Linked DNA regions of Neurospora crassa OR74A. Each later gene encodes a partner of the first gene's protein in a complex. Links are inferred from orthologs where the notes say so. Each region holds a gene or a part of one and is shown in the gene's direction. Other genes may lie near its edges. The genes, in order: NCU01474, NCU07852, NCU04068, NCU08299, NCU00952, NCU17114 and NCU07549.

Region 1 (3,781 bases):
GCCGTCGATCTTGGCACCGGGCTTTTGCTCAAGCACGAAGACGTTGAGGCGGTGGTAGGGCGAACCCTTTTGCGCGAAGGGGGGAAGCCAGGGCTTGCCGACGTCGCCCTCGACGCGGTCGCCGACGCTGCGCAGGGAGAGAACCGTCTTCGACGGGTCCCATGGGATGTTGGCCGCCAGGAAGTGGCAGCGACGCTTGAAGTTGTCGTGCGTGACGTCGGGAACGTCCGAGTCGATGACGACGACAGTGAGGAGGCGCTCGCCCTTGTCGAAGACTTGCATGCGAAGTGTGGGTGCAACCTCGGTCACGCGCGAGTCGAGGATGGCTCCCGGGGAAACCTGGTAGCCACGGAAGGAAAGCTTGACGTCCATGGTCGGGTCGAAGGCGGGCAGAAGGTCGGGAACGACGTGGAACTGCGAGATACGCTGCGCAATGATTTTGTAGTCCATGGAACGCCAGCGGCGCTCGGCCATGAAACGGTAGACGGGCTTGGTCATGTCACCTGGAGGCAGAGAAACGTGTTCGTTAGACTGAGACTTGCGAAGCGGAGTAAACGTCATAAGAAAAGGAAAGGAAAATACAAACCTCTGCCATCCTCGAAACGCCTCTTCACTTCGGGGTCGTTGATGTCGGCCAGAATCTTGAGCTCCTCAATATACTTCCTCAAGCTCTTGATCCGTGTCTGCTTGGCGGCCTCGCCGCCCTCGAACTCGCTGGCATCCCGCGCCTCGATCAGCTTGATCTTCTCCGTCTCCTTGACAATCTGGGCGATTTTGGCCGCGCGGTCCTGCTGCAGGATCTTGCGCGCATCCTGGAAACACTGGTACGGCAGCTGCTCGAAGGGGAGGTTGCCGGTGGTGGCCAGGGCGGCCCTTCTCCTTCGCGACCCAAGCTCTGGACCTCCGACTACTGTGTCTGCTACTGTCGCCTTAGCCTCGGTTGCCGAAGGAAGGGGTGGTGGTGTTGTGGTGGAGTCGACAGGAGAGGTGGTGGTGGTGGTGGTGGCGCCCTCCTCTTTGCGCATCGGGGTCGAGGAGAAGGGCCTAACGGCGGCAACGGCGACGGACCGGGTCGAACATGTCGCAGCGCCGGGGCCGGTTTGCCGGAGACAGCGGACGAGTGGCCGCGCGACCTGCTGACACGTCGACATGGCGGGTGGGAATGTGTGCAGGCGGGCCGGAGGGGAGAGTATTGGAAGTGCGGGATCGCTCTCAATCGAGAGGAGCTGCACTCAAGGTTTCGTCGACGGGGAGGACGGGGTCAAGGACGGGACAGGGACGGGACGGAGGGTTCGTTGGTCCTTCAATTCGTTCCATGCTGCAGCCCACCTGCCCGGACTCGAACTGCGGCCAAAATTTCGTGGACCCCGGGGCCGGCAGCACAGTGCGCTCATTGGAAGTACTTATAGTGGGGGTTGCAGAGTAGCGGGCGTGCCCCGCGAGAAAGCTCGCCAGAAACGGGTACTCGATGGCTGCAGCGCACTGTACGTGCACGTTGCCCGCACTCCAGATCTTTTTTCTCCAGACTCCGTCCAGTCCCCTCGTCGGCCGAATCGTTGCGACTTGACTGGGAGGACCGGCGCCCGCGACGACCACCGCATATCCCGTCAGAGCCCCCGTCTCGGTCCCGTTCCGTTGTCCCTCCCTCGCCCCGAAGCGCGCTCCACGTTTCCGTCCGCACAGGCCCGTGGTTGCTAGTCTCTCTTTTCCTCCCGCGAACAACTGCCTCGAGCACCACCATATCATACCTGACCTCCACTACATCCGAGTTGCATTAACTTGTAACTCCCGTCACCTTGCCATATCACAACGCCGCCATGGCCGGCAAGGGTCTCAAGAGCCTCAACGAGGCCATGAATGCGCTGAGCATTGCTTCCAAGTCATGCAGGGCACTGCCGGTTTGTCCTCCATATGTCCACCGTCTTGCTACTGACCCGCCTACGACTTTCGCTCACCAGTACAAACCATGTCCACTAGATGCGCCAATCCTCTATTCTTCCCTGCAGACGGTCGATGGCCTCCGTAGCCACCCCTCCTGCCGCCAATATCACAAGATCGGTCTCGGAACCATGGCAACCCAGTATGAGCACCAACACGACTGCCAACCTCGACAACATCGCCCGCGCTGGAAAGGTACTAACCCACGATTCAGTCACCAACGTTCCTGTGACCGTCTATTCCTTCCCCGAACTCGAGCCGCGCTCCCTCGAATCCTACTCAGCCCGTCACCTTCACCTCCCGCTGCGTCGCGATATCCTCCACTTGGCCGTCATCTACGAAGGTGACTCGACACGACGGGGCATGGCGTCTACAAAGACACGCTACGAAGTTCATGGTTCGCACAAGAAGATGAGTCCCCAGAAGGGTACCGGTAACGCCCGTCGTGGTACCCGCCAGTCACCTCTGATGAAAGGTGGTGGAAAGACCTTCGGCCCCAAGCCCCGCGACTTCAGCACGAAGCTTAACAAGAAGGTCTACGATTTGGCCTGGCGCACCGCGCTGTCCTACCGCTACAAGCGCGGCGAGCTCATCGTCACCGAGGACGGCCTCGACCTCCCCCTTCCCAACGATTTCCTCTGGCTTGCCGGCGGCGGTAAGCTCAGCCGTGAGCTTGAGGACGGCTACGTCCGCAAGTGGGTTCACGAGTTCATGACCAGCTTGAACTGGGGCAAGGAGGCTGGCCGGACGACCTTTATCACGGGCGACAAGCGCCCCAACCTCTTCACTGGATTCGAGTTGGCCGGTGCCGAGGGTCGCGCTTTGGAGTTGTGGGATGTCGATGTCAAGGATCTTTTGGAGACGGGCAGGATAGTGATTGAGCGCAGCGCGCTCAAGGAGATGATCGAGGACCACCAAAGCGACCTCGTCACCCGTGTAGCAGTCCAAGGGCTCCGCCAAAAGGGTCCCAATCTGGGTGAGGTGCTCGTCAGGGCGCCGAGATACTAGACAGGGAAGAAGATGGAGAAGAAGCAGCAGCAGCAGAAGTGAATGTGTGTGTGCAACCACCGGCAACACTCTTGTACCATATGAATCGCGCAAGGAGGGCGGACTGAAGAAGACGGTTTGTCCAGCACGATGAGTGTAATATTCATGTTCCTTTGTACGGTGTACCTACACGAGTTTCCCTTGTTATTCGGAAGCAATTGGCTTGCCTTGTTCCCTCTCTGCATTGTGATAATAAGCGAGAACTGTGTAAAAGCCAAGGGGTTAAGTAGAACGGTATAGTAGTCTGTGACTGTGACACAGTTATGCGCAACTAAAATGTCATTTCTTGGAGTGAAGTTGCAGTGTTTCATTCACCACTCACTACTGCTGGCAATGCCTGGGCAGCCTTGCCGGTATGACCCCTTTGCCAACAGGAACTGCAGTGAAGTGAACAACTGAAGATGGAAAGAGGACGAGATGGAAGTTGCAGCCAACAGCCAACAGCCGACTGCCTGAACAGCTTGGCAGTCCCGCCTCAGCCCGCTGCCGGCCCGCCATGGAATTCCTCCCGGAATTTGCACTGGTGCACGGACCAAGGCTCGGGACCTCCCCGCGCCTATTTAACCAAGCCAACCCTTCCCCCAATCTTCAACTTTCCTTCTCCTTTTTTTTTTCCTCCATCCAAGTGCAGGGGTTTTACGCGTATCAGTGAGGATTCGTCCGAGATCGCGTTTTTGCTAGTTGAAAACTACATACCTGACCGCTCTCAGTTGGCTTCGGCTGGCTGGGGAATTTTTGGCAACCCACAATCCTTTCTCGGACTGGAGATTTCTTCATTTTTTTCTTCATCTTTCAA
Region 2 (3,441 bases), on another chromosome or scaffold:
ATGCGGTCCGAGGCTCCCGGGGCGGGCGTGATCTTGTCTAGGGTGGGCTTGTGGTAAGTCTCGAGGATGCTGACGGCCGCGCCTTGAGAGTCGCCGGAACCGCGCAGGATGGCGTCACGGCCCGTGGACTGGATGGCGTTGACGATGGCGGAAGGCGCGGCCGTGCCTTCTATCGTGAGCAGCTGGTCCTTCAGGTTGGCCTCCACTTTGTTGATTCCGGGGAGCTTGTAGAGTGCACCGGAGACGTCGTTCACGCAGCTTTCGCAGTGCATGGGCACGGCGAAGAGAGTCTGTGAAATGAGTTAGTATGATGTGCCTCTGGAAGTATGTCAAGGTGAGTCAGATATGTGAGACAGGCTTGGACCCTTTATCTAAAGAAAAGGAAGGGCTTGGACCGAAGCTCATATGTAGGCATATATGAAAATGAGGCTGTAAAAGGGTATAAACAAACCTTGAAGGGGGTTGTGATGGAAGCCATGTTGCCGGCTATCTTCGGGATTGATGATTTGGGAGCAGCCGGGGATGACTGTGACTGAAAATAGTTCCTATGTTGTTGGCGTTGTTGCCAAAGGTATGCGCCTCCAAAACCTGCTAAAGCTAGACTAGAAATACTTAGGATTTGTCTGGCCGTGTACGGTGGCATCGGTTTCAGGCACTAAGAGGTAGCAAAGACAATACTGAGGACAGTATAGAAGTGGTGGTGTGAGAAGCAACACCAACGTGAGACGATGGATTTGTATAGAAGGCGATGGAGGAGAGCCCCACGTTCGGCGAAGGAGGGGACGACTAGGTACAATTAATAACGTTTTGGCTCCAGTCTACGGATGCTTAAGAGACGGGGTAAATGCGACTCTTGTGCTGAGATTCCTCATTGTTTCTCGACAAGAGAGTGCATGAAGTCACCTCACTGGAGTGCGAAATGTCGTTTTCCCATCTTCACTGTAAGACGGCAGGAAGGTAGATGTCGGCCTGCCAAAATGTTGATTTCAAAGCGACGGCACCTTTCTGGGACCACTTTTTGCGGGCGACCAACTGGGGCTCCGCTGTGTCCGGCTCCTCGATCGGCCCAAGCCAGGGCAATCCTGCTCCCCGAAAGCGTGTGATATGTACCGGGAAAGGAAGTGCAGGCTTTGGTACATGGGACATCAGTAAAAGAGAGCTCTAAGTGCGCCGAGTTGGTGTTTGTTAGTGCTTTCCTCAATTACACACTAAGACTTGCGGACCACCGTAGCCACCCCGCCAACCGCCAGCGGGCCGTCGTGCCCCAATCGTACGTGGAAATTTTCCGGCAAGAAAAGTGATTGCAGCTTTTGGGCTTGGCAGGCTCTGCTGCTGCCCTTCTGCAGGAGCTCCATTCTGCTTCCCGTGATACCGGACCACATTTGATACCCGTTCGCCGCGACAAGCCCCGGACTTTCTCGCGCCTGCCGAACCCGCCGTCTCGAACACTCCGGAGCCCGCCCGATCCCGTGTCATTCAATTGACCCGGACGATAACACATAGAGGTTCACTTACCACCAGTCGATGAGGGACTCGTTCCCACTGGTTTTCATACCTGCCTTCTCCACCTTAATCCTCTCTTGAACACCATAGTATACGACCTACATCACCACCGCGCAACACCGTCAACATGTCGCAAACAGTCGGAGCTGTAAGTTTCTTCCTGTTCGGACACAACTGTCCCATAATTTCGTCGTGTTTCTTACAATTTTGGCACTTGCTCGCCCTCCCGCCACCACCACCACCACCTCCACCACCCGTCACTAACCACCGCCGTCTTGCGACGAACGTGTAGACCCGACTAGCCTACTCCCGTGTCTGGCACCACATCTCCGCCGTCACCCCTCACCCCACCCTCTCGACCATCAAGGCTCCTTCCGAGGCCATCACTCCCCCTTCTCTCGGTCGCCTCGCCTCGCGCATTGCCACCATCCTGATGGGCAAGCACAAGCCGATCTGGGATCCCTCCACCGACTGCGGCGACTACGTCGTGGTGACCAACTGCGCGGGTTTGTACACGACGGGCCACAAGAAGTGGCGCAAGACGTACTACCGCCACAACACCCGGCCCGGTTCGCTACAGGCCATCACCATGGATGCGCTGATGGAGAAGCACGGCGGCGCCGAGGTGCTGCGCAAGGCCGTCAGCGGCATGCTTCCCAAGAACAGGCTGCGCGACAAGAGACTGGCGAGGCTCAAGGCGTTTGAGGGTGATGCGCACCCGTACAAGGAGAACTTGGTGCGATTTGGCGGTAAGGTGGTGGGCGCTCCAGGTTGGGAGGAGGCTGTCAAGGCTATCCGGGAGGCGGACATGGAGAGGTTATGAGCGACCATGGCTTTGAGGTGTGAAGGTCTGGTTGAAGGCGCTGGAGCTGGCTATCTACTCATGGAAGAGTGTCAGAGAAACGGGAGAGAAAGAGATGTAGGGACGAATCTACATCGAGCCGTTACGAACCATCTAGCCGACGAAGACTGAGAACTCTGTCAACTGTGAGGAAGATTGTGTGGACAACCACCTCGTTGGGGCGAGAAATCTCTCTCGTGTGTTCTTGTGTCTGTTACAGCCCACTTGGCCGTGTGATTCACGGGCAATGCCGCCAGTGTCAGTCTGTATATTACATGGGAAGCCGGTTCATGAGCCCAGCGCGCAACGGACAGTGTACGAACTTGGGTTAGAAAAAGGGGGCCTCTCATTGTACAAATATATCACTCAACAAGATACCATGATTACGACTCATGAGAGCTGTTTAGACTCATTGATTGTTTGATCTGATAAGCGATGAGCAGATCCTCATGTCCAACACGCTGAAGGCCCGCGAAGGCAAAAAGTCAGCCTCACCGATTTCACGGCATATTTTTTCACTTGGTAATTCGAGAGTGCAGCTAGCAGTGCTTTTCGGATGCTTGCTTGTTCATAATAGGAAGTTTATTTGATTACCCCTGAAAATTAGCGCCAGTCAAGATGTCCATAGCCTCCGTCTCATGATGATCCGTTGCATCAAGGTATCATCATCTTTCCACCTTCAAAACGTACGCCTGCCCGCCAACCAACCCCTCGGAACGTGAGGGGGAATGCAAAAAAAAAGAAGAAAAAAAAATGGTGATATCATAAAAGAAAGCCAAAGAAACATGTGTGACGTTTTAAAAACAAAGTTCAACAGTCTTACGAGCGAGAGACCTCGCATTTGATGAGACCGTTGGGACCAGACTGGGGAGCGTACACCTCGGCGTCCTTGCCGGTGTTCTGGAGGCCCTTGTGCCAACTGAGATCTGTTTTTTTTTTTTGGGTGTTAGTGTAAATTTATCTGGACCTATTTTTTTTTTTTTTGGTGGATTTGCGAAAGGGGTACTCACCAACTTCAAAGTAGTGCTTGTTGGGTAGCGAATAGTTGGTCTTCTCCGTCTCGGGTACCGCATCCAAGATCTGCTCGCACATCTTGT
Region 3 (3,992 bases), on another chromosome or scaffold:
ATGGCAAAACGGTTCTGATTCGAGTTCTTGAAGTTCACTTAGGGCGACGGCGTAGATATTTGGTAGGCGTGAGGACGCTCGAAGCAGATCCGAAGGCTGGATGTTGCGGTCGATGTTGACTTGATGGTCGGCTGTGTTGCGGTCATATTATTAGTCAAGCCCTGCAGGCAGTGCTCTGATATTACTTACGAACTGCCACTTTTCTTTCACCTCCCCACGAAAAGGCCAGAGAAGGTGTAGCTGTAACGGCACAGAGAGCCGTGAAGAGAAGCTTCCTGGCCATAGTTGTCATGTAAGTGCAATGCGACAGGCTGATGATGATATACTGATAAAGTCAGATGCGTCCAGAAGAGTGCCGTCGAAGGGACTTCGGCAGTAAGAAATGGAGATTCTGGCAATATTGGTAGTGCAATTTTGGCGATCGAAGTTTGTGGCCATGCAACTGAAAATTCTGTGGTGTTTTTGAAGAGAAGGAGCGATTCAAGAGAGGGAAGGAAGGAAGGTGTATGAGGGTAAGTTGGCGATCGCGACTGCCCAGGATAAGAGAAGCGGACTTGAATTTAGCGGGACAAGAATCACAGGATTGTGAAACCGCGAAAAGGTTTCGTGTGAAATGACTTCACTTGAAGTTCGCATCGAATATGACTGTGATTGTCTGCCGAGCTCGACTTTTGCTGGTTCTTAATCGTCTGATGTGACGCTGTCCTCTCCAACAGAAGCGAGCCTAGACAAAGATTTGGGCTGTAGACCACTTGTCTTGACATCACTGGAATCTGCATCTTTTCATCCGGTATCGAGAAAGTGCAAACAGCTCGCTTGAGACAGTTTGGAAGACTTCGACCGTGACGGGTGTTCTGGGTGGTGATGACTATCGTGAGGTTGGCATCCGTAAAGTCGTCATCGGAAAGCTGGACGATTGTCGAACGGGAGATTAATTCAACATTCAATCTGAATATTGTGAAACAATATGTTCCATCGAGTAAACTCTACACTTCCACGCCCTGTGCCATTTTCTTTTTGAAGATTTCTTACTCGAGATGAATGATGTCGGATGGAATAACATCTGTTGGTGTTCGTCGTTGTTTCTTAGCCCAAGCGAATAGCAGCAGCGAGACTATGCGGATACGACCCTAACCCTGTTGTATTTACAGCCAATCACTAGCTGCATTGCTGTGCCGCGTCAGGTCCGATACATTTTTTGGAGCTCTCCGAAGATCCACTCGGTTCATCCCACCACCCGGCCGGCTTGCCATTGACTCGGTGCTGCCCTTGCGACTGCCAGAACCTCCGAACTGGAGCGCCGCGTCTCTTCGCCAATTCCGGTTCCGCATCGTGACGACGGCCACCACCCTGCCGACGACGACGACACTCACCACGATGTTCGCCCCAAGCCGAAGGAGGGTCCTTGAGGCCGTTGCCTCTTCCTCATCTTCTCCCGTCGTCACACTCCCCGGCTTCCTGGTGCCCGCCTTCCAACAGACTGCCGGTGCCGCCGCCCGGCGCAACTTTTCCGCGACGACAACCCGCCCGTCCAAGCTCGGCCGCACCCCGCTCAGTATCCCTCCTGGCGTCGAGATCACCATTGGCGAGCCCTTCGTCAAGCGCGACATGACGCAGTGGAAGCAGCAGCCTAAGCGCAAGATTACGGTGCAGGGCCCGTTGGGTTAGTTTGTTCTATTGTAAAATCGACTTGGCAAAAGGACCAGATGGGTGTTTTATTTGAGGATACGCAACGAAACTGGAGCGGGCGCAACAGATGGGCTGGGAGAGGCCCGAGAGAGAACGTTGTTTATGGGTGTTTGCGCGAGAGTGCAAAGGGGACTAGGATGGGAGCAGAGCAGCTGGCTGACTTGTTGCACGTGTGCGTGTGCTTTTTCACAGGACAACTCGAGATGGACATTCCCGACTTCATCAAGATCGACCACGACGCCGAGGCAAGGAGAGCGACCCTCAGCGTAGCGAACCGGGACGAGAAGGAGCAGAGAGAGATGTGGGGTATGGCAAACACCTTCCTTGTCTTGGAGAATGTGGAAAGTTACGGGCGGCCAGTCAGCTGACGATTTCGAATCTTTCTTGGACAAAACAGGAACAACATGGGCGTACCTCAACCGCTTCATTATGGGTGTATCAGAAGGTCACACGGCCGTGTTGCGTTTGGTCGGTATCGGTTACAGAGCTACAATCGACACCCGCCCCGAGAAGGAGGAATACCCCGGCCAGCAGTTCGTCTGCCTCAAGCTCGGTTTCTCCCACCCCGTCGAGATGGGCGTTCCCAAGGGCATGAAGGCCAGCACGCCGCAGCCGACAAGAATCCTGCTTGAGGGCATCAACAGAGAGCAGGTCATGACCTTCGCCGCTGATATCAGGAGGTGGCGTGTACCGGAACCCTACAAGGGTAAGGGTATCTTTGTCAACGGCGAGACCATCAAGTTGAAGCAGAAGAAGATCAAATAGAGGACGCGCGGTGGGTTTTGGTGGCTGATATGGTTGTTGATGAGGATAAGGGGGGAATATTGTACATTTAGTCTATTATTTTTTTTGGCACACACATGGCCTCATAACGGCCCGATACCTGCCATAACCTGTACACTATGACACCGAGGCTTTACTGCTGCCCGAGAACTTCCTGAACGACCTTGATGACCTGGTCGTGGACCGCAGCAGGCGCCGCAATGACACCCTTGTTTTCAGCCAACGTGCGGCCGACGCTGAAATCCAGGCGGTTTCCACTCACGTCGGTAACCTGACCACCAGCCTCACGCACAATCAGATCTCCAGCAGCGTGATCCCAGATCTTCTCCTGGTAAGACTTGGAAGTAGGCAGACGGAGGTAGATATCACCCGCGCCGCGAGCAATAGAGCCGTACTTGGCCTGGGAATCCATGCGCACACTAGGCTTGGTGATCCCGAGCTTCTGCGCAATCTGTCCAGCCACGCCCTGATCCGAGTGACCCGCCTCCACGCTCTCGCAGAAGCTGGCGTTGGACATCTCTGTAATAGGCTTCATCGCAATGGACTTGCCCTCCGCAAGACCGGCGGTGCCCAGGGGTCTGCTAGTCGCGCCTTGGCCCTGAACGGCCGAGAAGATGACACCCCGGCCCTCATCGGTCGCATTGGTGCCGATATCCGCAGCCAACGGCGCAGCGTCGTCCACAGGCAGGTTCGGGCAACCGAGAACACCGACCTTGACGTCACCGTCCACCATCAGTCCCAAGCACACGGCATACTGTCCACCGCGCAGGAAGCCCTTGGTGCCGTCGATGGGGTCGATAGTCCATATCCTGCCCTTGGCGCCGCCCTTGCTGTTGCCCTGGTCGATGATCTCCAGCATCGCGTCGGCATCCTTGATGGCGCCGCCAAGGAGTTGCTCGGCAGCCTCATCGTCAAGCTTGGTGGACTTGACGAGCTCCCAGATCTGGTCCCGCAGGGGGGTGTCCTCGCGCAGCTGAGCGGCCTCCTCCTCAGCCACAATCTCGTCCGAAGGAAAGTTGGCCTTGAGGGCGCTGATGATGAGCGCCTGAGCGCCAAAGTCGCCAATGGTCACAGGGGACTTGTCGTCCTTGGAAACGGTGCCCTTGGCCTTCTCGTGGAAGACGCGCTTGGTGAGGCGGGCGGCCCGCTGGACGGCGAGCTGAGCTACCTCGAGCTCCTTTGCGTACTGGGAAGAGGCCATCTTCTGTGTAGATGTAGTTGTAATGGTTGAGCGGCTGGTTGCTGTGATTGTGTTGGCACTGCCAGTCAAATGGCTCGCAATGAGGGAAAGCCGGGGAAAGGAGATGCGGGAACTGAAGATAGCCAGGATGAGGACGATGAGGGAGAAAACGAAGAGAATTTTGGAGTAGAAAGTATGGGACGATGCCTTTTTCTGCTGTTTGATCTTATCCACAGTCATACAGCCGCGAGAGGATCGATAAACCTCGGGGAATTTTCAATCCGTAACCGGAATACGTATTCAGTCCAAGTTGTTGAGTGGTTGAACTTGGGATTCTGGC
Region 4 (4,200 bases), on another chromosome or scaffold:
GGAAGGTGGGCTCTTCTCTGTGAGTTCACTAGTATTCGCCAATAGTACGAAACGGTAAGAATAGAGGTAGTTTCCTCTATAATCCATTACAGAACTGATCCACATCAAAGTTAGCTTTATTCACGACGTAGCCAGGCTCTGGAGCACCAACGCAAGACGGCCAGCGGAGGGTAACCGACGTTGAATGTATTCCGAATATTGCATTACTACCACCAACCGGCCGGCCTCAACCAAGCCAAGATGTCCTGTTATTCCATCAAGCCTTTGGAAGCCATGTACTGTATGACCAAACGGCCGGGGTGGCAGGGCCTATGCCCAAATTTACTTTTTCTCCTGTGTCGTCCCGTTCTCCTTTTGCGCCCGCTCATACTCGATAATCTGTCTGCTCCAGCTAGTGGAGGTAATATCGGTTGCGTCAGCTTAAGAACATCCCCGCGGTCTGCGCTCGCGGAAAACGTTACGCATGTATAAAAATTTGGATGGGGGTCTGTCTGCCAGGACATACTATCTGCTGGGATAAAAGCGACCAGGCTCGGGCATCTTGTGACGGTACTCTTTCTCGGCGCTAAGCTTCCAGACTGCGGCAGTGATGAGGAAGACGACGCCACCGAGAACAGCCGTGTTCTTCTTCCAGTTGGCCGGCTGGGCGTACCAACCACCCGAAGGCGACCAGACGTGTTTGGGGTAGCTGGAGTGAAGGGCGAGGCAACGATTAGGACGGATCCATGACACAACGCAGGCTGGGTTGGACAGAATGCGCGGAGGGTTTGCGCATGTCGAGGGCGATGAAACTCACGGAACTTGGGGACCGCCGCCCTATAGACAGGAAAAATAGAGAGTTAGCAGACACAAAACATAGTAGTGATGATGGCTATTCTAAGCAATCGGGTGGATACGCACCATTGTGATGAAGTTTTGGGATATGTGGTGAGGTAGGTTGGACGTTCAACGAGGAATGATTCTTTCCACCTCGCAGTTAAGCAAGATCGGTTTGTACTGTCAACTTTGCGATGCACTGCGAACGACGGCACAATAGTGGTGATGCTTCAGCGGGAACAATTGGATAGAAGGACGAATGATGAATCCGCCTACAGGCTGACGAGGGGCTAAATCGCATCAACCATCCAGGCCTGAAAGTCACCATGTCACTCGTCCTAACTGGGGCCGAGGGCGCATGCGACAGACGGGCGGCGGGCGGCGGGCGGGCAGCTCCCGCTTGTCCACCACAGTGCACCGTATGCTAAACAGACAGCGCAGATAGTGGATTGGGGTCGAAGATGGATCTTGTGGGGACCCTCACTGGGCCAACAACGAATCATGTCAGCCGGCTTTTATGTCTCGGTCTTGGGGGAGTAACCCCTGCGCTTGAGCACTGATTCACGGCTCTGGGTGGTGGGCTTGTCTAGTGTACGGGTGGTGAGCGTTCAGATTGGAGAACTTTTTTTTTCTACCCGTGTTCGACGGCCGGCCGAGTCTGAACGAGAACCCATCCGATCAACGCGCGACTCCGACCGGGATCCCGAGTAGCTTCCCACCCCGCGACCACCGGCTCACCACCTGCCCGTCCGATTTCCCTCACTCCATCCTTTTCTTGGCAGGGCCTCCAGACGGCGCACACTTACGGAACCTGGGCCCCAGCACGTCAACACCCGGTTGTCGAGCCGACCATCACCCATCAAATATATCGCCCATGAAGAGGATAGCAACGCCCAGCTTGACGAGCCGGCTGCTCGTCGCCGCTCGCTCCGGAGTGTCGCCCGCCACTGCCGCCATCCGATCCCGATCTGCAATCTCGGTGCGATCGCAATCGACAGCTGCCCTCGCTCAGCACGATGCATCCCACGATCTCAACAATGATCGGTTCCCCCCGCTTGAGCCCCTCCCCCCCGCGGCCGAGTCCCTACCGTCGCCCCTCCCCGAACGGGCCTTGACCTCGGCCAAACTGGCCGCCCTCCACGCCCGTTTGAATCTTTCTCCCAAGATCCCCTTACAGACATTGGCAAGGACACTGGTCGACGCCTCGGCCGACGAGAACCCGCAGTTCAACAACGCCAACCTCGCCTTCGTTGGCCAGACCCTCATCAACTACCATATTGCCGAATGGCTCCTCTGCAAATACCCCCGTCTACCCCAGGGAATTCTCTTCAGTGCCATGAAGGCTTATGCCGGACCGAAGCCCTTGCTCCAGATTGCGCGGTCATGGGGTGTTGATACCGCCGCGGTGCCCGGCGGCGAGGTGGATCCCGGTCTTCTGCAGTTCGATGCCCTTAAGCCCGGCGTCGCCATCACAAATTTCGGCTACAAGCGTACAGAGCTCGCCTACCTCGAGAAGTTCAAGTGGCGTCGCGGTATGGCCTCGCGTGTCGTTCTCGACGACGACTTTGGTGATGTCGTGCGCAGCGACCCCAAGGTTGCCGCCGATCTGGAGAAGGCGATGGAAGAGCAGGATCAGGACAAGACTCCCGACGAGGAGGAGGCCGAGATGGTCGCTAATGAGCAGGACCAGGACGTGAGCTACGACCGCTACGGCAACCCCGACACCCGGGCCGCTGCTGAGCGGGCCCACGCCTACTTTGTGCGCGCCGTCGTCGGTGCCATCTACGCCCACTGCGGCCGCGAGGCCGCCAAGGCCTTTGTCAAGGCGCACATCATGTCGCGCACCCTCGACATTGCCAAGCTCTTCGAATTCAAGTACCCCACCCGCGAGCTCGCCGCGCTCTGCGCCCGTGAGGATTTCGAGCCCCCCGTGGCTCGTCTCCTCTCCGAGACGGGTCGCCAGTCGCGCACCCCCGTTTTTGTTGTCGGTATATACAGCGGCAGCGACAAGCTCGGCGAGGGCGCCGCCTCCTCTCTCGACCACGCCCGCTTCAAGGCCGCCATGAACGCCCTGAAGGCTTGGTATCTCTACAGCCCTGGCGAGAACCCTCGGGTACCCAGTGATATGCTGGAGGAGGGTGCCAAGCCCTGGACGCCAGCATACATTGATATGGGTGAGGTTATCTCCCGCTAAATGAGGAGGCTGAAACACGGAGCATGGCGGCGGACAGTACGGCAGGGCAGTAGAGAACTTAGGAAGTGTATGAAACGAAAGGTAAAAAGAGAGTCGCAGATGGCCTGCTTACACTCTCGGTTTTATTGGTTGTGCGGCCCATCAACTCGGGATAGGTTCCCCTTGTGGAAATCGACGCAAGAGGATCGAGAGGGAAACAAAACAACGAGTGGATTTTGTTGGTGTGGTCTAAAAGCTCAGCTTACCTTTCCACTCTTGTCCTGTCCTGTTGAGAGCGGGCAATTTCCGTCCTGCGAAGGAAGGGGATATTAAATGGATGGTCCTCTCCCATCCAGTCACTCCCTTTCCTTCCATTGTTTCTTGCTCTTTTTGCCAAAGACGAGATGTTGTATACAGATTTGCGCGCAACGGACATACATGTACACACACGCACACCCCCGCCACATATACCAATACAAAGGGGGGTTGGGACGGAACGGGGAATGAAGAGGGTCTGGATGGTGGCTGCTTGGCTCTGCTTTCGACAAAGAGAGACACAACCCTCGTCGGGGTGGCATCTGTGTCCTTCTTTCTCAGTGTATAATACCAAAAAAGTAGCCGAGGCCAGGGAGAAGGAAGATCATCGTCTGTATGTGTAGCATTAAGAAGTCAAATTTTTTACGAGGCATCAACGAAGTACATGACATGATAAATCCTTCCTCTACGTATTGACTGCTCTGGCATGAGGAGAAGGCTGTGTAAGAGAGAATATGGTACTACGCAATTTACACGCATTGTACAATTCCAGGATGTGTAAGCCCTTGTTTTGTATAACAAGCATCGTAAAGGAAGAAATGGGAATACGCAACCGGCAAGAGTAAAAGACCGGACGACGAGATCGAGCCTGGAAGTTCCTCCCAAGCTTGCGCGCCTTCCATTCATCCAAACTAGAGGTTGTTTAGTATCTATTTTGCCTTGTGCTTTCTTCACATTGCTCTTGTTTATCTTATACGTGAGAGGAAGATGAAGTTGGTGAGAGGGGAGATGAAATGTGGACTGTTCTCTCTGTAGTTGCGTCCTCACTTTCTCACCCCCTCCTGGTACTTTGTCACGACGTTTCCAAAAACACGTTCATCAGAACTTGCGACCTGATGCAAAGGGATCAATGAAGGAGACTTTGACAACTATAGAATTGGCATATTGTTAAGGTA
Region 5 (3,236 bases), on another chromosome or scaffold:
TTTGGTGCTGTTTGCGACGGCGGTTGCCGAAGAGGGCTTGGCGGGGGTCGAGAGGAGGAGCATCTGACGAAGCGGCGGCGGCGGGGGTTGAGAGAGGGGGTGGAGACGTCGTCGACGAGGTTGGTTGAGCACCACCGCTGGGGGCAGCAGCAGTAGATACGGGTGTTGAGGCGCCTGATCCGCGGTCTGATGCGGCGAGGTTGGCGGCGACGGCAACGTAGGAGGCTAAGAGGAGCTGGCGCTCGAGGCGCTGGGCGGTTTCAAGGTTGCGGCGCGCCGCGAGTTGGGCTTTGCGGAAGGAGGTTCGACAGCTGTATTTTTTTGAGACGCAATTTTGTTAGGTACGTTGTTTATCTTCATCTTCATCATCGTCATCACCATCCAGGCTGAAAAGATGAGAAACAAAACTCACCCCTTAAGCTCGGCAGCCAAGCGTTGCGCGCCCTCCTTTAACCTCGTCTTTTGATGTTCCGCCTCACTCCCTGGGCGGCCGGAGCGCAAGTCGATAATCTCCTCCTGCAGCAACTCCAAATCCTCCTCCTCCTCGCGCAAGACCTGGCTGATTTCGGCGCTCAAGTCAGCGGCCTCACTGTTGGTGGTTCCATCGGCGCCAGTGTTCGCGAGACTGCTGATGCTGTTGCTCAAAGGAACGGAACCGGGCTCGAATTTGAGCGTGGCGAGACGCTCGATGAGGTCCTTAAGCTGGCCGGTCGTCTCTTGGAGGGCCGTGAGCCGCTCTTGAAGCGTTTCGAATGTTGACATTAGTGACTTGTTGTATTATGTCGGTATTGCATTCGTAGGGAGTTGACTCGGTAAAGGTAGATAGATATGTGTTGGAAAAAGGTGGATGTGTAACAAATGGTTTCCATGGATCGTAGTCGGATCCCACTTAGGTACCTGGTGTTGATCAGCAGCTGTGCTGTTGTTGATAATTAGTGGAAACCTGGCCTGAAAGGAGAGCACTGTAGCGATGTTCAATGGAAGTTCTCGGTGGGCGTGGCTCTTGCAACGTCATCCTCAAGGTCAATGAAAACGGATCACATGCGGAATTCGGTAACGGAGTTCAAGTTACAACTCGCTGGGGCAAATGGGAGTACGTACTGTTGCGCTGAAGGAACAAAGCACAAACTTACACACTCAGGGCTACAGACTAACACAATGTAATAGAAGGCCAGAAGTGATTCTCTTCCCGTTCAGAAGATTAAAAAGATGTATTATGTCAATTGATCTGATGTAGTGTAAATATGAATGCAAAATCGAGCCTGACACCGTTTGATCCCAGTTGGCTCCCAACCAATCACAGCCCATCTCTCACACGTAGCACGCGCCGTCCCGCATTCTCCGTTTTACAAAAAACACCCCTCCCGGTCCCCGGCGCAATCGGTACGTACCTCCAGTAATTTTTGATCGCATCCCTCCTCCACGCTGCCGGCCGGCGCCAGGCACGAAGACCGAATCGAAGTCCAAATCGCGACACACAAGCTACGTACCCCGTCCGATCCTCCACAGAGACCCGTCTCCCGTCTCCCGCGTCTCCGTATCCGTCCCCGTCCGGTGTGCAGTGCAGTCCCGTCGTCGCAAATTCGCAAAGTCGCAGTCAGGCCTCCGCGTTCCTCCTGCTTCTTCTTCTTCTTCTTCTTCCTCCCCGAACCCAACCCCAACACGACCTCAGGTCACCACCACCACCACCCGAGAGACCTCGCCCAACATGCTCACCCGCTTCATCACCGACGTATCAACGCGCTTCAACCCTTTCTCGGCCAAGGCCAAGGCCGCCCGGCTCTTCCTCTCCTTCCTCCCTCCCAACGCCCGCTCCAATGGCATGAACATCACCACCCAGCTTCTGCCGCGGAATTCCACCGAGACTCCTTTGCTCTACGTCAAGTTCAGTACGTTTTCCCAATGTCTCTCTTCTTGTCACTTGCAACTCTGTCACACATCGACGGACCGCCGTTGCAGTTGGTTGTTGCAATTTGGATCATTCCGGCTGGAAGGCAATCAAGAGTCGTTAGCTGTGAATCAAGCCGTAGTCTAACGTATTTGAAAAAAAACAGAGGACGGCAAGGAAATGAACCTCGACGTTGAGAACATGGGCATCAAAAGCATTGTCGAGGAGGTGGATCGCCACTCTCGTATCCTTCAGAAGCAGGCCGACTTGAACGACGGTTAACCGAATCTCTGTCTTTCTTTTCTTCTTCAAAACCCAGCAATCTCGAGACGCCCTTGTTGTGTTTTGATCCACCAATCGAACTTTGCGGGTAAAACGAGGGAGACTGAGACTAGGAAAAAGGAGGGAAAAGCCACGGGAAGAGCGACGAAAGCCCATCTTGTCTTGATACCCAGACTACTTGGCTTTGGTCCGTGGTACCAAAATGACGATTGACCGGGAGGAGAAGAGGAAAAGTCTGGATATCTAAAGGCACATTCGAATCACCTGGGTAAAGCCAGCGAGCTTGGAGCCGGATACCTGACGACCTCTCTGAGAGATCTGTAAGATCGCCTTACCAGCCAAAAAGAAGAAAACAACAACAAAAGATATGAACCTGTATTTGTATTGGGCAAGAGGTTGTAAGTGTACACCAACAGCATTGGGAGGCGTTAAGGGGCCGGCGATTTTCAGTTGGCAAGGCAGTTTGGGTACCTGTTGTTATAGACATGCGTATATAGCACCTCTGCCATGGATTGATTCACACACATCACGGTACGCCCATTTTGACAAAGTCAAAGTTGAGATCGGCCTTTTTTTTTTTTTTTGTTTTTGTTTTGGCGACCGTGTTTCCTTCGATGGGGAATTCATCAACGGTATCGGTATATTTCAACGGCGAAACTCATGGCGCAAGAATGTCGAGCATCTCCTCGACAAGTCCCTATCCCACGGCATGGACTACAGCCTCAGAAATGGCCAATCTCTGACCGCGCATACCTTGTTGCAAAGACGTTCGACTCTACGCAAAACAACGCATGAGGGTAACACCATGGAGGATTGTTCACGACGAATTGACCAATACAACAAAGTGCCAATAAATTATCTTTATTCTACCTCAACAAACGAACTCTCTAAGCGGAAGCACCGCTGATGAAGAACCACTTGTCGATGGAGCTATCGATAGGGGCAGGGGGGAGATTCTCGTTGGGAGGGAGGGGAGGAAGCTGGTCAGGGGCAACACGGCTGCTGGAGTGCTGGACAGTGACGTTGGTGGTGGAGACACCGCCAGGGGCAGTCTTGCCGGTGATGA
Region 6 (3,375 bases), on another chromosome or scaffold:
AAAGAAAGTTGGGGAAGTTCGGGACAAGAGGAAGCAACGGTACGTTCGGGAAGGTGAAAGCGACGCAATAAAGCACATCGATCCGCGTCGGTCGGACGAGAAACTCGCGCCGCTTTGGCGAATGGCAAGGGTTTGGTGATCCTTACCTCCGCATGTCGCCGGACCCCACGCCGACTGCTGAACAGGGATTGAATAATTTCTCACGGCCGCGCTCGGCAGCCGGTGACGGGCGGTCTTGAGGGCGTTTGACAGTCCGGCAGCCATCGATGCGATTGTCGATCTCTTTCTGATGAAGTGTACGTATTGATGGATGAGGGGAGGAGGGTCTCGATACTGCCGGGTGGGGGGGGACAGGACTCCCGGAGATGCCGTCAAAGGTGAACGGGAGAAGAACTTGTCGTTGATGGTGCGCTGACTCGCTCCGAGAGTACCGAGAGGACGGGATGTGATTTAGGGCTGAGTCCAGTTTATGTCAGTTGGGTTGGGTTTTCAAACCGCATTCGACACAGCAGACGCAAAGACACTATGAATGGGGGGGGGGGGGGGGGGGGGGAAAGATAGCACGCAGAAGAACACACGAACTTTTTTTTTTTTTTCTTTTTTTCATCAAATGTAGCAACCCAAACTGAACTAATGAGCTCCGAAACAGGAGCACGGAAAGCGGTGTGGTCTAGAACTTTTTGTTACAAAAGAGTCTTCGTTCCGGTCCGGTTTTGCTCCCGCGATCCATTTCTGGCGGGGTCGCAGAGGTCCGAATCGAGACTACAGTCTTGGTACAGTATGGAGAGTCAATCAAACAAATGCCATATTCTGATTCGGACTGCTATCCGCCAGACGAGGCGGTATCGCTGAGCTGTTTCGTAGCCGCCAAGATAAGCTGCTGCTGTGCTGTGCTGCCTGACAAGCCAACGTTAAATCCGGGCCGTTGTATTCTACCTCTAGAGGTAGCTGCGGCATGTGTAGGACCAGTGGACTATATCTAGTATCCAGGAACTATCCTTTTCGTCGACTTACACAGTTCCCTTCCAGCGCCTTGTTGGCGGGACGGGCATGATTACAGCCACAGTGCTGTCAACGGTCACCATGTTGAAATTACGGTACACAAATATCAAATTTATGTTCTTGAATACATCTCTCTCAGTGTACAAGCCCAGCAAAGGTGTTGATGTTGTCAATAAATTTGTGTGAGATGTTCTGATAGATATCACGCCCGTTGTGTTTTGGCCAAGGCCTCTGGGGTTCCTCGGTGAGCTCTCAGCTCACTACACTCAGCTTGTTCCTCACCTTGCCTTCACCGATCCTACAAGTACACTAAACCGCGGGCAGCCACCTGCCAAGCCCAGCTAGGAGCGCACACGACCCACCCACAGCCCCACCACGGCCCACGCACCCCCGGCGGGCCGGCAGGCAAAATCTACAATCGCAATCGCAAGAAGCGCGGACGACCCGACGTCGATTGGAGAGCTTCCGGCGCAAAGACCGTGCTCCGTGAATCCGCCCGCCCTCCGCCCGCAGTTTGCGAACCTCTCCGTCCGGACGAGCCCCAGCCCGTCGCCCGTCGCCGTACCGCACTTGATCCAGTCCAGTCCAGGCGCGCCGTTGCACACCACAACAGCGCAACAAAAGTCGTTCAACATGGCGAAGAAGGGTAATCGACTCCATCCTCACCCGTGTGTCTGCAATTACTGCTTTGTTTTCCTAAAGGGAAAAGCGATGCAATGGGGAAACCGGAAACCGAAAACAGAAGACGATAGTTGCTGATAGGTAAACAACAAACAGCCAAGTCCCGCATCATTAACGTGCGCCTGATCTCAATGGCCATGACGGGTTATTTCTACACCTTCACCCGTCCCCGTACCTCGCTGCCTATGAGCATGCTGAAATACGATCCGATCGGTATGCGCATATCCTCTCCCCTCATTCCTATCTACCTCTTTCGCTTCCAACCACCTACATGATTGATTCGGCGGACACGACGACACGGGCATGATATGGAACTCTTTTTGGTTGCGGGCTTTCTCGATTTGCACGATTCGAAACACCCCAATACGCTTCGTCGAACGGACCTTGGGAAGCTCGCTTGGGACTGGGACTAGGACTGGGATCAGGCTGGGACGCAACAGTTCAAAGACTCGGACGATGGCATAACGTACGGACCTTCGAGAAAAGAAAAAAAAAAAAGCAACCAGCCAACCAACCGGCCAACAGAGAAGAGAGGAGGGGACGGAAGAAACACTTGCCTACGACAGACAATTTTTCCCAATCACGGATCTCGAAGAGGAAGGAATACCTACTAACCCTTTCGCCTCTCCACCATAGTTCGCCGCAAGGTCCTCTTCCTCGAACAGAAACGCAAGGGCAGGTCATAGATCGTTACTCGCCCCCGGGCCTAACGACCGTCGAACGACCGAGAGCCAGAGCGAGAACGCGGAGCCTGCGATACGGAATCAAAGAGCGTAGCGGCGAAGCAGCGACAAGTAAAAAGCTACAGCACCCCCTCCACGGATTACCACGTCACACCAAGTTACGATTTCGACCGGGTTGTGTTTCAAGCAGATCACCAGCAGACAATGGCCAGTGCTGGCGAGTGAGTTGGAGCTGGAGCTGGAGAGGGGGGTGGACCGGACCGGAACTGGACTGGATATATGGAGAAGAGAGGCGCAAGAATAAGATGGGGTCCCTCGTTCCATCCAGTCTCTGGTCGTGTATTATTACTGTACCACCGATCCATCAGTATATAACATCACCCTGTGAGTTATGGATTGGCACCATGGAGCGTTTGTTGCTTCTTCGCTCTACCGATGGGCCAGGTTGATTAGAGAATGTACAAGTCAAGAGATAAGCACAACGCCCCTCGGCCGTCGGCAATGCTGGGCGTGACCCAGGTTCACTGCCAAGTGGCTCTCCCTTCTCTTGTGTTGTGTGGTAAGGATAACTCTTCTATCGCGATCAGACAGTCTGTCATGACACCTCGACATCTTTGACTTTTCTTGCCATCGTACATCGCTTTATCTCATCTTTCTATATTTTCGTGGAAATCAAACTTTTCATTAGTCACAAGACCCGTCTCCCAACATTTTACAGGCGTTCTTTCACACTCTTCTCGTCGTATACATATTGAATCTCAATTCATTCGAAACACAGTCTCCAATCCACACAAATACGCCATGCATCGACATATGGATCATAACTTATTCCCAGGCGGAGGCAGAGGCAAGTCATCTCCGTCTTCTTTGTTTGCATTCTGCGAGAGGGTCATGGAGTCTTGGGTCTCATCATTGGCGCCCCCGTATCGCGAAAGTGGCTGGGACTGAGACCGTGATTGGGACTCGCCGTTCGTTTGACTGACCGAGTTGGTGTTTTCCGCAGGATCAA
Region 7 (3,100 bases), on another chromosome or scaffold:
AAAACGACAAAAGCATAGCCACGATGGGGCTTTTTCTTCTTGTTTGGGTTCTCATCGGCGTGGGTATCTCTGATGATACGGATCTGTTTTTTGGTGTCAGTTCTTGTCAATTAACACACACATAGCTGTGAAATCATGATATAGGAGGAGGGGGGGTTTGCAAACTCACACGCTCGATAGGACCGTAGCGGCTAAACTCGCGCTCGAGATCCTGTTCATCAGCACGGTAGTCAAGACGCGCTACTATCAACGTCTTGAAAGCATCTCCTCTGATGTTGGGATCGTCATTAGGGTTGTCTACAGATAAACGCCATCGGTTAGCAAGCCGCACGACAGCAAGATCATGATCAAGTAAAGGAGTAGCGAGCACAACTGCGCGTAACGTTGGGGGTTTGCCGCGTACAATTCTTGGGACCCTCGGTCAACAGCTTCTCCAAAGCTTCCTTCTTCTCGCGCTTCTTGCGGTCGCGCGCCTCCAGCCAGCTCTCGGTGGGATGGTACTCGTATTCTTGCTCGTAGGCCTGCATGGCAGGAAGGAAGTCGGCAACGGGGGTGATGAAGGCCGACTTGCGCTCTTCGGGAGCAACATCGCAGGGCGGCACCCAGCGCAGAGGTGGCCGGGGCGCAAAGAGTGCGAGGAGGTTAGGCGGGAGCCGGTCTGTCATTGTCGCTTCACGTTGTCGCTGTTGTAGCTGGTCAAGTGGTGTTTTTTTGTTGATCTTATCTGTCGTCGAATTATGAAATCGATATGTCGGAAACCAGGAAATGTAGGTCGTCTGGCGTTTGATCCACTGTTCGGAAAGCCGGGCGAGAACAGTTCAATAAGGCTGAACGCTGTTACTGTTTGCCAATTCTTGTGATGGCGATAATGTGGTGTTGTCGGTTTGCGAGAAAGGTCAAACCCGCATTTTCGCGACTTTGCTTGGACAGCTGAAGACGAGAGACAGAGGGTGGGAGGCGGGAGCAGCAAAGGGCCCTGTCTGGTGTTGTGTCGTCCACTGCCTGGCAGCCTCGCAGCGACTGGAGCTCTTGCTGGGCAGCTTTCTCGCGCGCTCGACCACCGAACGACTGAGTGCGAAAGAGGGACCGTGCACCCTTAGGTCGTCTTCGTTATCACTACGCACACACCCAAGGAGGAGTGCAATCGCGTGAAATTGATTCTGCCAACCGCTTTTGCAGTTGGGCGGGTCCCCCACCCCCAGTGCCGTGCCGGCGCGCGACGGGGCGGGAGTCTGGCAGAAGTTCAAGTCGCACCCGCCCTCCGGATCATGAACCCTGGTGGACTCGGACTTGTTGCAAGGCGAGGACGGCGGCGAAGAAGAAGAAGAAGAAGAGCATCACAACAATGACGGTAAAAGCATTGACGCAGATCTCCTCTGCCGGCCGTGTAAGTTAGACCGCAGCCTGAGCAACTAAAAACTTTAATTTTCAGAAAAAAAAGAATGCTAATCGTTGATTGTTTTGTATCTAGAATGGCGTCGGCGCATTCGTCTTGCAGTGCAAGAAGTTGGACATCCACTACAGTGACTGGGCCGGCAGCTCCCGGGGCATGAAGTACGTTTAGGATTCTTCGAATATGGACATCGCAACCTCATTCCCGATCGAACATCTTTCACATATACCAATACCTCTACACGTCCAACCAAACCGACATCCTCCCAAGATCTCGAGACCATCCCGCCGTCCCCGACCATCCATCCATCCATCCATCCACCACTACATACCCTTTTTCTCGTCCCTCCTCGTCCCTCCTCGTCCCTCCTCGTCCCTCCTCGTCCCTCCTTATCCCTCCAGTCTCCCTTCGCGACCTCAGCAGACAGACTCTTTCACTAACACTTACTTCTTCCTCCATCTAGCGGCTTCATCAAATCCCTCCTCCCCAAATTCGCCGCCGCCAACCCGCAAATCGAGTTCGTCGTCTCTCCCCGGCCCGCCAAGCACCCGATCCTCATGGGCCACTACATCAACGGGCGCACCAAGGCCATTTGCGTGCGCAACATGGAGCCGCTCGAGATCCTCAAGAAGGCCGAGCTCCTCCGCGACGCGAGCGGCGAGAAGCCCCAGAAGTTCAAGAAGCCCGTCACCAGCACGAACCCCAGTGTCAGAGGTGTCTGGTCGCCTTACCATGGGCAGGGTATGGCTGTATAAAGCGGAAAAAGGGGGAGGAGCAGGTGCTGGTGCTGGTGCTGGAATGGACTGGATCGGTGCTGGGCTGGATTTGGTGCTCGGCCGGTGTTGGCTCGGTTCAGTACCAGGTGGATTGTATATACCATGTTGAATGTATGAATATGAATTGAGGACATGAAAAGGGTTTCTGGATGTATCAAGGGTTTCGGTTTGGCTATATGGTTGTGATCAAGTCCTTCCAGAGCTATCGAGTTCCCATGATGAGTTGCCCCAGTTCCAAAGAATCTGACATTATCTTCTGGTGCTTGGTGGTTGACTGTTGATATTGGAACTTGGGATGAACATCTAAGAGCGAATGGAGGAGCCGCGGAGTTGCGGTATCTGGTGTCACAGAAGTCATGAACGGGCTACATGAAGCGAAACTACGTTCTTCAATCCCAAATCGAACAAAATCAGGACATTTAACTATTTTATATTTTCGCCGTGTCCTCAACACCATTTCCCAGCCTATATGATTGCGGCTGTAGCAAAGCTATAACTTTTTATGGGCAAGTAATTTACAGGTTGGCGTTGATGATGTCCACGACTGCATCATATCATGTTAGCCATCTTTCTTCCTCTCGTTGCAACAATGGCAGGTAGTACTTACACTCGGGCTTCAAGCTGGCACCGCCAACAAGGAAACCGTCAATGTCCTGCTCCTTGGCAAGGTCCTTGCAGTTCTTGGCGTTGACAGAGCCACCGTAGAGGATGCGGGTCTCCTCAGCAACCTTGTCGCTGACGTTCTGCTTGAGCCAGCTGCGGATGGCGGCGTGCACCTCCTGGGCCTGCTCCTTGGTGGCGACGAGGCCGGTGCCAATGGCCCAGATGGGCTCGTACGCGATAACGACGTTCTTCCAGTCGTTGATCTCCTTGGCGAGAGCGGCGAGCTGGTTCTCGACGAACTTGATGGTCTCGCCGGCCTGGCGCGTGT

What was found.
Region 2: NCU01474 (region 1) and NCU07852 share a complex: the UniProt entries of both Saccharomyces cerevisiae proteins name them as parts of the mitochondrial large ribosomal subunit. The link is inferred for Neurospora crassa OR74A from reciprocal best matches to the Saccharomyces cerevisiae genes YML6 and MRPL23.
Region 3: NCU01474 (region 1) and NCU04068 share a complex: the UniProt entries of both Saccharomyces cerevisiae proteins name them as parts of the mitochondrial large ribosomal subunit. The link is inferred for Neurospora crassa OR74A from reciprocal best matches to the Saccharomyces cerevisiae genes YML6 and MRPL6.
Region 4: NCU01474 (region 1) and NCU08299 share a complex: the UniProt entries of both Saccharomyces cerevisiae proteins name them as parts of the mitochondrial large ribosomal subunit. The link is inferred for Neurospora crassa OR74A from reciprocal best matches to the Saccharomyces cerevisiae genes YML6 and MRPL3.
Region 5: NCU01474 (region 1) and NCU00952 share a complex: the UniProt entries of both Saccharomyces cerevisiae proteins name them as parts of the mitochondrial large ribosomal subunit. The link is inferred for Neurospora crassa OR74A from reciprocal best matches to the Saccharomyces cerevisiae genes YML6 and MRPL44.
Region 6: NCU01474 (region 1) and NCU17114 share a complex: the UniProt entries of both Saccharomyces cerevisiae proteins name them as parts of the mitochondrial large ribosomal subunit. The link is inferred for Neurospora crassa OR74A from reciprocal best matches to the Saccharomyces cerevisiae genes YML6 and MRPL39.
Region 7: NCU01474 (region 1) and NCU07549 share a complex: the UniProt entries of both Saccharomyces cerevisiae proteins name them as parts of the mitochondrial large ribosomal subunit. The link is inferred for Neurospora crassa OR74A from reciprocal best matches to the Saccharomyces cerevisiae genes YML6 and MRPL51.

The regions. Positions count from the first base shown.
Region 1 is NC_026505.1:4,618,903-4,622,683, reverse strand, and holds NCU01474 (60S ribosomal protein L4), read left to right. Parts: upstream 1-1,425; 5' UTR 1,426-1,817; coding exon 1,818-1,898; intron 1,899-1,977; coding exon 1,978-2,946; 3' UTR 2,947-3,281; downstream 3,282-3,781. Other genes in the region: NCU01473 (mitochondrial large ribosomal subunit YmL35), read right to left, coding at 1-503, 587-1,151. UniProt on the Saccharomyces cerevisiae protein: Component of the mitochondrial ribosome (mitoribosome), a dedicated translation machinery responsible for the synthesis of mitochondrial genome-encoded proteins, including at least some of the essential transmembrane subunits of the mitochondrial respiratory chain.
Region 2 is NC_026503.1:1,107,879-1,111,319, forward strand, and holds NCU07852 (mitochondrial 54S ribosomal protein YmL23), read left to right. Parts: upstream 1-1,302; 5' UTR 1,303-1,630; coding exon 1,631-1,651; intron 1,652-1,795; coding exon 1,796-2,326; 3' UTR 2,327-2,941; downstream 2,942-3,441. Other genes in the region: NCU07851 (superoxide dismutase 1 copper chaperone), read right to left, coding at 1-290, 452-643; NCU07853 (uricase), read right to left, coding at 3,164-3,270, 3,355-3,441. UniProt on the Saccharomyces cerevisiae protein: Component of the mitochondrial ribosome (mitoribosome), a dedicated translation machinery responsible for the synthesis of mitochondrial genome-encoded proteins, including at least some of the essential transmembrane subunits of the mitochondrial respiratory chain.
Region 3 is NC_026506.1:2,634,704-2,638,695, forward strand, and holds the start of NCU04068 (mitochondrial 54S ribosomal protein YmL16), read left to right. Parts: upstream 1-1,192; 5' UTR 1,193-1,377; coding exon 1,378-1,663; intron 1,664-1,881; coding exon 1,882-1,995; intron 1,996-2,086; coding exon 2,087-2,454; 3' UTR 2,455-2,605; coding exon of another isoform or gene 2,606-3,892; 3' UTR 3,893-3,992. Other genes in the region: NCU04067 (hypothetical protein), read right to left, coding at 1-131, 190-283; NCU04069 (3'-phosphoadenosine 5'-phosphatase), read right to left, coding at 2,606-3,892. UniProt on the Saccharomyces cerevisiae protein: Component of the mitochondrial ribosome (mitoribosome), a dedicated translation machinery responsible for the synthesis of mitochondrial genome-encoded proteins, including at least some of the essential transmembrane subunits of the mitochondrial respiratory chain.
Region 4 is NC_026504.1:2,488,204-2,492,403, forward strand, and holds NCU08299 (mitochondrial 54S ribosomal protein YmL3), read left to right. Parts: upstream 1-1,400; 5' UTR 1,401-1,690; coding exon 1,691-3,010; 3' UTR 3,011-3,789; downstream 3,790-4,200. Other genes in the region: NCU08300 (uncharacterized protein), read right to left, coding at 322-391, 506-688, 797-816, 901-903. UniProt on the Saccharomyces cerevisiae protein: Component of the mitochondrial ribosome (mitoribosome), a dedicated translation machinery responsible for the synthesis of mitochondrial genome-encoded proteins, including at least some of the essential transmembrane subunits of the mitochondrial respiratory chain.
Region 5 is NC_026501.1:6,595,290-6,598,525, forward strand, and holds NCU00952 (mitochondrial 54S ribosomal protein YmL44), read left to right. Parts: upstream 1-1,414; 5' UTR 1,415-1,708; coding exon 1,709-1,889; intron 1,890-2,054; coding exon 2,055-2,170; 3' UTR 2,171-2,736; downstream 2,737-3,236. Other genes in the region: NCU00953 (hypothetical protein), read right to left, coding at 1-311, 413-762; NCU00951 (inorganic pyrophosphatase), read right to left, coding at 3,058-3,236. UniProt on the Saccharomyces cerevisiae protein: Component of the mitochondrial ribosome (mitoribosome), a dedicated translation machinery responsible for the synthesis of mitochondrial genome-encoded proteins, including at least some of the essential transmembrane subunits of the mitochondrial respiratory chain.
Region 6 is NC_026506.1:2,292,549-2,295,923, forward strand, and holds NCU17114 (hypothetical protein), read left to right. Parts: upstream 1-1,346; 5' UTR 1,347-1,635; coding exon 1,636-1,648; intron 1,649-1,779; coding exon 1,780-1,896; intron 1,897-2,319; coding exon 2,320-2,369; 3' UTR 2,370-2,875; downstream 2,876-3,375. Other genes in the region: ala (alanine aminotransferase), read right to left, coding at 147-264; NCU03974 (hypothetical protein), read right to left, coding at 3,185-3,375. UniProt on the Saccharomyces cerevisiae protein: Component of the mitochondrial ribosome (mitoribosome), a dedicated translation machinery responsible for the synthesis of mitochondrial genome-encoded proteins, including at least some of the essential transmembrane subunits of the mitochondrial respiratory chain.
Region 7 is NC_026503.1:4,406,055-4,409,154, reverse strand, and holds NCU07549 (mitochondrial 54S ribosomal protein MRPL51), read left to right. Parts: upstream 1-1,164; 5' UTR 1,165-1,345; coding exon 1,346-1,387; intron 1,388-1,471; coding exon 1,472-1,554; intron 1,555-1,856; coding exon 1,857-2,148; 3' UTR 2,149-2,600; downstream 2,601-3,100. Other genes in the region: NCU07548 (hypothetical protein), read right to left, coding at 1-83, 170-297, 404-665; NCU07550 (triosephosphate isomerase), read right to left, coding at 2,685-2,713, 2,777-3,100. UniProt on the Saccharomyces cerevisiae protein: Component of the mitochondrial ribosome (mitoribosome), a dedicated translation machinery responsible for the synthesis of mitochondrial genome-encoded proteins, including at least some of the essential transmembrane subunits of the mitochondrial respiratory chain.